Linked DNA regions of Callithrix jacchus. The protein of the gene in region 1 purifies or fractionates together with the protein of each later gene. This does not show direct contact. Links are inferred from orthologs where the notes say so. Each region holds a gene or a part of one and is shown on either strand. Other genes may lie near its edges.

What was found.
Region 2: the proteins of SOST (region 1) and LRP5 purify together in Homo sapiens (affinity purification with mass spectrometry; 3 studies listed by BioGRID and IntAct, counting the BioPlex papers as one, with this or other methods). This does not show direct contact. The link is inferred for Callithrix jacchus from reciprocal best matches to the Homo sapiens genes SOST and LRP5.

What each region holds. Positions count from the first base shown.
Region 1 is NC_133506.1:70,627,082-70,631,377, forward strand, and holds the start of SOST (sclerostin), read right to left. Parts: upstream 2,949-4,296; 5' UTR 2,902-2,948; coding exon 2,682-2,901; intron 1-2,681. UniProt on the Homo sapiens protein: Negative regulator of bone growth that acts through inhibition of Wnt signaling and bone formation.
Region 2 is NC_133511.1:125,303,107-125,306,911, forward strand, and holds part of LRP5 (low-density lipoprotein receptor-related protein 5), read left to right. Parts: intron 1-3,508; coding exon 3,509-3,717; intron 3,718-3,805. UniProt on the Homo sapiens protein: Acts as a coreceptor with members of the frizzled family of seven-transmembrane spanning receptors to transduce signal by Wnt proteins.

The DNA.
Region 1 (4,296 bases):
CGCGGCCACCACAGCTCTGGCCCGTCCTGGCCCCCTCCACCCCAGCCCTGCTTTTGCAAAGCCCGCCTCTCCCGGTCTCCAGAGGTTTTTGCCCCTGAACACCTATTGCAGGAAGGTCCCAGATCCTCTAGAGCTGGTGGAAAGCTCTCCTGCGCACCCTGTCTCCTCAGAGCCAAATGGCTGCTGGGGTGCAAACACCAGGGCTATCGCTCACTGCAGGTGGCATCTTGGGCAAGTTCCTTAACCTCTCTCTTCCAGTCTGTAAAATGGGCTGCCCCAAGCATTGTGAGTTAATCCATTAGGCACGCAATGCAGAGAATGCCATTTGGCACACACAGCTGGAAGCATCAGCTGTTATTATGTATTATTATTATTTCTCTCCTACGGGTCCTCTTATGATTTAAGCCACACTTATGCCGCAGGGACCCTGGCCTGGGCAGGGTAAGTAAGTACTCGCCACACCTTCTGCCTGGCTCTGGCTTTTCCCAAATTCCTTTCCCAGCCACTTGGGGGGAGGTGAACAGGAGATGAAGAAAGGAGTAGAGGTTAATTGAAGGTAATAAATCAGGGCAGCTGCTGTGGAGGTGACAGAAGGGGAGGTGATCAGGATAGGAATTCATTAGACTTGAAAGGAATCAAAGGCACAGTGTCCAACCCTCTCGTTATCAGTAAGAATACTGAGGCCCAGCCACAGAAAAGAACGTGCCCAAAAGACAGGGCTGTGTGATCCAGACTTCACTTCCTGGGGTCGCAGCACCTTTTGGCTCCCATAAGAGTGGAGGCTGTGCGTTCGAGCACTGGTGGGAGGCTGGGCTGGGGGACAGAGCTGAGGGCTGCTTTTTGCTCTAGTAGAGGCCTCAACTCTGACCAAAACCTACAGGTGCAGCAGCCACATACATTCACCCAGCTGTCTGCTGGGCACATTTCTTGTTCTGTGTTATTTGAATGGGCACCTCATGGTGATACTCCCTGGGCGGGCGGAGATTGGGTTTGGAGGAATGGCCTGATCCCCTGAGAACACCTTGACCATGTCTCCTACTGTGGACTTGGGTGGGAGCTTTTTAAATAGCTGGTCCTTGTGTGAGTACCAGTCCACCCCCAGAGGTTTCATGGGGATAGTTCCGATGTGACATGAAAGAATCAAAAATAGTCTTCAGACCAAACCAGAGAGGGGGCAGAGAAGGCCACTCCCACCCTACCCCCACTCTGAAGAGCAAGCACAGCAGGGGAGATGTGGCCACTGCCATCGTCTGGGGTTGCTTTCTGGTTTGCACCCTCACCTTTGTAGGGCTGGGATGTGTACTGGGGGGGCCTTTGCCCAGGGAAGGGGGCATTTTGGGGCTTTCCAAGAATAGTGCCCTTAGGTCAGTCACTTCCTCTGCAGATTGTGACTTTGTTTTGAGCATGTGGCTTCCTCGGGGCCGTGGCGCCTCAGGGAAGCCCAGCAAGGTGGACAGCTTGTGTTTGGGTTCCCTACAGCCCTTCAGGCAGTCACTGGAGGCCAGCTGACCTTGCCTAGAAGGGGGGCTGTGGGAGGAGGCACCTTTGCCCTCCATTTCAAAGGCACAGGGTCCTGGCTGGCCTCCCCTGTGGTGGCCCTTTTTAGCACCCCATAACCCCAACATGTTGTGAGGCAGAGAAGGCTGGGGTGCAGGAGCCTGGGCAGTGGGCTTCTCTGCCACCTGGATAATGGCCAGAGGGCAGTGAAGCCCTTGGTCTGAAGTGTCACTCCTGTCCCCACCCACAGCCCCGTGATTCCTGCCAACCGTAGAAGCAAATGTGCACACTGTCAACTGGGCTTCTCTGTGCAGGCCTGACAGGAACCTGTCAGGGTTCTCCTTTCCTTCTCCCTCCCCTGGAATGAGGCAAGGCTGGGACTGGGCTGGCCACTGAGGACAGATGTGCCTACTCCGGCACAGAGGATGCTGTGTGCCCTCTAGGACCTGGACACTGCTGCACCCATGTCAGGGGCTAAACCTGTGCCGACAATGCCCATTCCTTCAAATGCCAGCTCCCTGGGCAGGCCATGGGCAATGCACACTGCAGGGGTGCCTCTCTGGCCTTCCTCCCCACTGCTTTGTGGGGATCTGTCCCCAGCACACCTGCACACCAGGGCTGTCTTGCAGTTGAATCAAACCAAGTTCTTCTCCTCACTACCAAGTTACTGAGTGCCTGGAACCTGTTTCTTTCCCTTTGAGCTGGGGGTTCACCTCCTGGGATTCCTGTGTGGTGGGGACAGCCACAGGCAGCATAGAGTGTCTGGCACCCCACAGTTGCTGCTCTGTGGATGGGAGGCTCCCTCACCTTGTTCCCTCCCCAATGGTACCAGCAGTTGAACGTGGTTCCTATATTCCCAGGAGGAGATTCTTTGAAACCTTTTCTTTTTTGAGCCCCTGAGCCTGTTCTGATGCCCTGATGCCATACCCTCACCACCCCAGCCTCCTCCCTGCCCTGGACTCTCACTGACAGACTCCACCTGGCCTCATGCCCCTGCACCTGAATTCAAAGGCTGCACCAGAGCCATCCTTCCCCCGCCTCCAGTCAAAACTGTTCTTCCACCAGTGCTGGCAGAGGCCAGCAGTCTTCACTGGGTCTACCCCAGTCTTCAAAGCCTCCCAAAGAGAAGTTTCTAAAACCTCCCCAGGACCCTTTTACTAGGAATTCTCTCCTCCACCCCATACCTTTGGTCTCAAAAGGGTGGTGGGGAGGCCGCCCTCCGTTCTCCGCCCGGTTCATGGTCTTGTTGTTCTCCAGCTCTGGTGGAGGCTCGGGGTACTCTCCCAGCTCAGGGATGATTTCCGTGGCATCGTTCTTGAAGGCCTGCCACCCCTGGGCCTCCACCACACAGAAGGCTGCGTGCACCAGCAGGCAGATGAGACATAGGGCTAGAGGGAGCTGCATGGTGCCAGCCAGAGGAGGGCACGCAGCCTTCCAGTAGCACAGGCTCTGGTCCCCAGCCGAGACACGGTTGCCTTTTTAAAGCCCCCCTCTGCCTCATGCCAGCCAATGAGGACAGGCTGGGGCAGGGCTGGTCCCCTGTTTCCCTCAGCCCCGGGGGGAGGGAAAGGGGTGTGCTCAGGGCAAACCCTCCCTAAAGACTTCTCCTCTAGCTCAGCAAACTTCCAAATTGCTGCTGGCACTCCCAGGTGACCCAGAGAGAGGGGGCGTGTGAGGCTTGGCCCAAGCCTGCTCTCCAGCACCTCCCACGTGCTGGTGGCTGTGGTTTTCAGATATCAAAATGAGCTCCGGCTTTTAATTGTCCCTGGGCCCTCAGGCATTCTCAAAACAAGCCAAGTTCATTTGCCACCCCACCAACAAATGGCCCACAGGGTGTCTGTTTGACCCCCATAGACCCAGCCAGAGGCAGAAAGATGCTTTTTAAGAAATCCCATTGGTCCCAACTCCACAAGTCTCAGCACTGACTGTCCTGACCAAGGAAGCCTCTCTCTTGGCATTTTCTGGAAGGCAAGAGAGAGAACTAGAGGGCCAGAGCAAGGGTGGCCACTTGGGAGAGGGGACAGGACTCTGGTTACGAGTGGAGGATGTGCTGGTCACTCAGGCTCCCGTGATGTGGCTCACAGAGGAAATCCCAGCTCACGCTCCTCAGGGATCCTGTGCACCGCGACAGGCATGACAGGCACTTCCAAGCCAGGACCCTCACTGTGGCTCACAGGGGGATGGGCTGAAGACAGTCATTTCCCAGCCAGGCTGTGGGTGCGAGCAGATAACACCAAATTCCTTTCCTTAGCAAAAGCTATGGCCAGCATTTTTTAGTGCTGACATTTTTTTTTCTCGCCTTCCATCCGGTTACATTTTTCAAAAACAGTTTCTGGTCCTATATGGGAATCTTCATTGGTGCATACCACAGGTTGTGTTCCATGAAGCCACCCCAGGACCAACCAGTCACAAAGCAGCTAAGAGAAACTTGGCTCTGCATAGGATGAGGGGCACAGGACCCGGGGGCAGGTAGAGGCAGTGGGGAGAAAGGTTCACGCCTGAGGTGCAAGAATAGAAAGGAGGGCAGGAGGAAGCTTTCATTGAAGACAGATTCTTTGAGGATGAGCAGCTCCTGGGAAGAGGCTGCCCAGATCCTCCTGGTATTTTAACTGGGCAATGAATGAATCAGTACGCCCCACCTGCAGAGCCTCTGCAAGGCCTTTGCCACCTGCCTCAACTTGCAAGTGGCTGTGTCCATCTGCAGCTGACTGTTGTCCTTTCCATCATCCATCACCTGACACATGAATGCAGCTGCTCTGACAGTTTTACAAGCCAGACAGAAGCCCCCTCAGGAAGGGC
Region 2 (3,805 bases), on another chromosome or scaffold:
CCACCTCCTGGGTTCAGTGATTCTCCTGTCTCAGCTTCCTGAGTAGTTGGGATTACAGGTGCCCACCACCACGGCTGGCTACTTTTTGTATTTTTTAATAGAGTTGGGGTTTCACTGTGTTGGCCAGGCTGGTATCGAACCCCTGACCTCATGATCCTCCTGCCTCTGCCTCCCAAAGTGCTGGGATTAAAGATGTAAATCACTGCGCCTGGCCTTTTTTTTTTGTTTATTTTAATTTTTTTAGACAGGGTCTCGCTCTGTTGCCCAGGCTGGAGTCCAGTGGTGCAGTTACTCTTGGCTCACTGCAGCCTCTGCCTCCCGGGCTTAAGTTATGCATCTCCGCACCCAGCTAATTGTTTGTATTTTATATGGAGACAGATTTCACCATGTTGCCCAGGCTGGGCTTGAATTCCCGGACTCAAGCAATCTGCCCACCTCGGCCTCCTAAAGTGCTGAGACGGCAGGCGTGAGCCACACCGCACCTGGCCTGTTTGACCTGTTTTGGAGTTGACGGTTAACTGGCATTCAGTTCACATTGTAGCCGTCACTGCCATCCATCCCCAGACCACTTCACCTTCTCGCACTGAAACTGTCTGCTTGGAACCCCCACTCCGCATTTCCCTCCGACAGCCACCGTTCTACTTTTGTCTCTCTCTGACTTCTCTACGTACCTCAGATAATTGGAATTATCCATATTTGCCCTTCCATAACTGGCCTCTTTCACATAGCATGATGTCCTCAAGGTGCATCTGTGTTGTAGCCTGTGTCAGAACTTCCTTCCTGAAAGCCTGGATAATAACTCACTGAAAGGCCTGGCGTGGTGGCTCACACCCTGTCATTCCCGCACTTCGGGAGGCCGAGGTGGGCAAATCACTTGAGGTTAGGAGTTCGAGATCAGCCTGGCCAACATAGTGAAACCCTGGCTCTGCTAAAGATATAAAATTAGCCAGGTGTGGTGGTGTGTACTTGTAATCTCAGTTACTTGGGAGGCTGAGGCAGAATTGCTTGAACCCAGGAGCCGGAGGTTGCAGTGAGCCAAGGTTGTGCCACTGCACTCCAGCCTGGGCAACAGAGTGAGACTCTGTCTCAAAACAAAAACAAGCCAGGCGCGGTGGCTCATGCTTGTAATCCCAGCACTTTGGGAGGCCAAGGCAGGCAGATCACAAGATCAGGAGTTGGAGACCAGCCTGGCCAACACAGTGAAACCCCGTCTCGACTAATAATACAAAAATTAGCTGGGCGTGGTGGCAGGTGCCTGTAATCCCATCTACTCAGGGGGCTAAGGCAGGAGAATCACTTGAACCCAGGAAGTTACAGTGAGCCAAGATCACACCATTGCACTCTGGCCTGAGCAACAAGAGTGAAACTCCTCAAAAAAAAAAAGAAAAGAAAAAGGATATGTCAGTCTGTGGATAGATGGACCACATCTTGTTATTTGCCTGTCTGTGCTCGGTTGCTTCCACCTCATAGTTGCCATGAATAAGGCTGCTATGGACATTTCCTTCCGTGGGGAAGTTTTCGTACTAGTGAGGAAAAGTCGCGTTGCTTGTGGTGCCACACGTAAGAAAGTTTGTGTTAACCACAAGTATTTGTACTTCATTAAAACGAGAGCTCAGGGTTTACGAAACTGGCCAGCTGTGTAAAGTTTGCTGTGCTGTTTTGTGCCGGGAGGAGTGTGGCCGGGGTGTCATGTACTGTGTGGCACAGTACGCGTTTCTCAGATGGCTTTTCTCCAGACTGCCGTCCCAAAGTCTGGTTTTGCATCTGGTTCCCACAGACCCGCCCTCCACGGTGAGCCTGATTTTGGCCAGGGTAACTGGAATCTTGCTTGTCTTCCAGCCTGGTGGCTGTGCCAGGCCAGAGTCCCCAGCTAGGGAGCTCTGTGACTTTTAGGAAAGAATTTGTTCAGTTGGTGTTGACGCACAGCCCCCTGGGGTCCACAGCTCTGCGGTGATGTGGATGTTGCTTTCTACAAAGACACGTGGTCCTTTGTGTCCAGATGACAGTGATGATGTCTTTGCAGGTGCCCAGCAAGGCTGGACCAGAGGCTGCTCTGTGTGTGGGGCGGGGGGTGGGGGACAGGGGAGGGATGCACCCTTTCCATCTGGGTCCAAGAGACTGGACCTGGGAAGAAGCTTCTTTTTATCTTCTTGGAGAGTTTGTTTTAATTGCATATTTTCGAGACAGGGTCTTACTTTGTCACCCAGGCAGGGGTGTGGTAGTATGAGCACAGCTCACTGCAGCCGCAACCTCCCAGGCTCAAGCAGTCCTCCCACCTCAGCCTCCTGAGTAGCTGGGACTACAGGTGTGTGCCACCACACCCAGCTAGTGGTTTTTTTTTTTTTTTGGTTGGTTGGTTTAGGTTTTTTTTTTTTGATACAGATGGGATCTTGCTATGTTGCCCAGAATTGTCTTGAAATCCTGGGCTCAAGTGATTCTCCCACTTCAGTTTCCCCATGGCAGGTGTGAGCCGCTGCTGCCTCCCTGTTTTATTAACTGCTGAAAGACCTAGATAAAGAAAGTCTGAAAAAACTTACAGTCAGAGCCCCATCCTAAGATGATGACTCAAGGGAAAGGGAGGGGAGCTTTTCCTTCAGGCCTGAGTGGCAGCAGCCCAGGTGCTCCAGGCTGTCACTCGGTCGGGAACTTGGATGCAGCTGTCTTTCAGGGTAACCCAAAGAGACCAGATCCCGAGGGGCAGTAGGCTTCTGGGCCGTCCCCTCCTCCTACATCAGTTCAGTAAGATCCCTTTGAAGGGATGCTGTGTCACAGGCTCCAAGAGCCCAGGCTCATCCCTGAGATGCAGAGGGTGGCCTGGGCTCAGGCAGCACTCAGAGGATCTCCTGGGTGGTGACCGTGGACAGTATGGGGAGGGAGAGTTCTTGAGAGCCACTGAGAGATGTGGCTGCCTTCCCAAGAGGGGCTACGGGTCATTCTGTACACTCACCTGCCCCACCCACCCTCACCTGGCCCCCAGCCTCACCTCCCCTACCCTGCATGTGTACTAGCCTCTGGACCCTCACCTGCCCTATACCCTCACCTGCTCAACTCACCCGACCCTGCACTGTCACCTTTCCCCCCCTTCACCTAGTCCCTCACTCTCACCTGTCCCCCACCATCACCTGCCCTTTACCCCATACCTGGCCTCCTTCCCTTGGGGAGGGGGTGGCCCGGGGTCTCTGCCAGTTCCCCGGGGGTCTCCAGCCAGTGCCCAGGGGTCTCTACCAGTGCCTGGGAGTTTCCAGCCAGTGTCTGGGGGTCTCCGCCAGTGCCTGGGGGTCTCCAGCCAGTGTCTGGGGGGTCTCCTTCAGTGCCTGGGGTTTCTGCCAGTGCCCCGGGGGTCTCCGCCAGTGCCCGGGGGTTTCCAGCCAGTGTCTGGGGGGTCTCTGCCAGTTCCCAGGGGTCTCCGCCAGTGCCCACGGATCTCTGCCAGTGCCTGGGGGCCTCTACCAGTACCTGGGGTCTCTGCCAGTGCTTACGACTCTGTCTCGGTTTCTTTGTCTTACAGCCCTTTGTTTTGACCTCTCTGAGCCAAGCCCAAAACCCAGACAGGCAGCCCCACGACCTCAGCATCGACATCTACAGCCGGACGCTGTTCTGGACATGTGAGGCCACCAACACCATCAACGTCCACAGGCTGAGCGGGGAAGCCATTGGGGTGGTGCTGCGTGGAGACCGCGACAAGCCCAGGGCCATCGTCGTCAACGCAGAGCGAGGGTAGGAGGCCAATGGTTGGGTGGGCAGGGGTGCCGCGCCCCACCCAGGTACGCCCGCCATGTCTTCCATAGGGAGTGTCAGCCTCTCC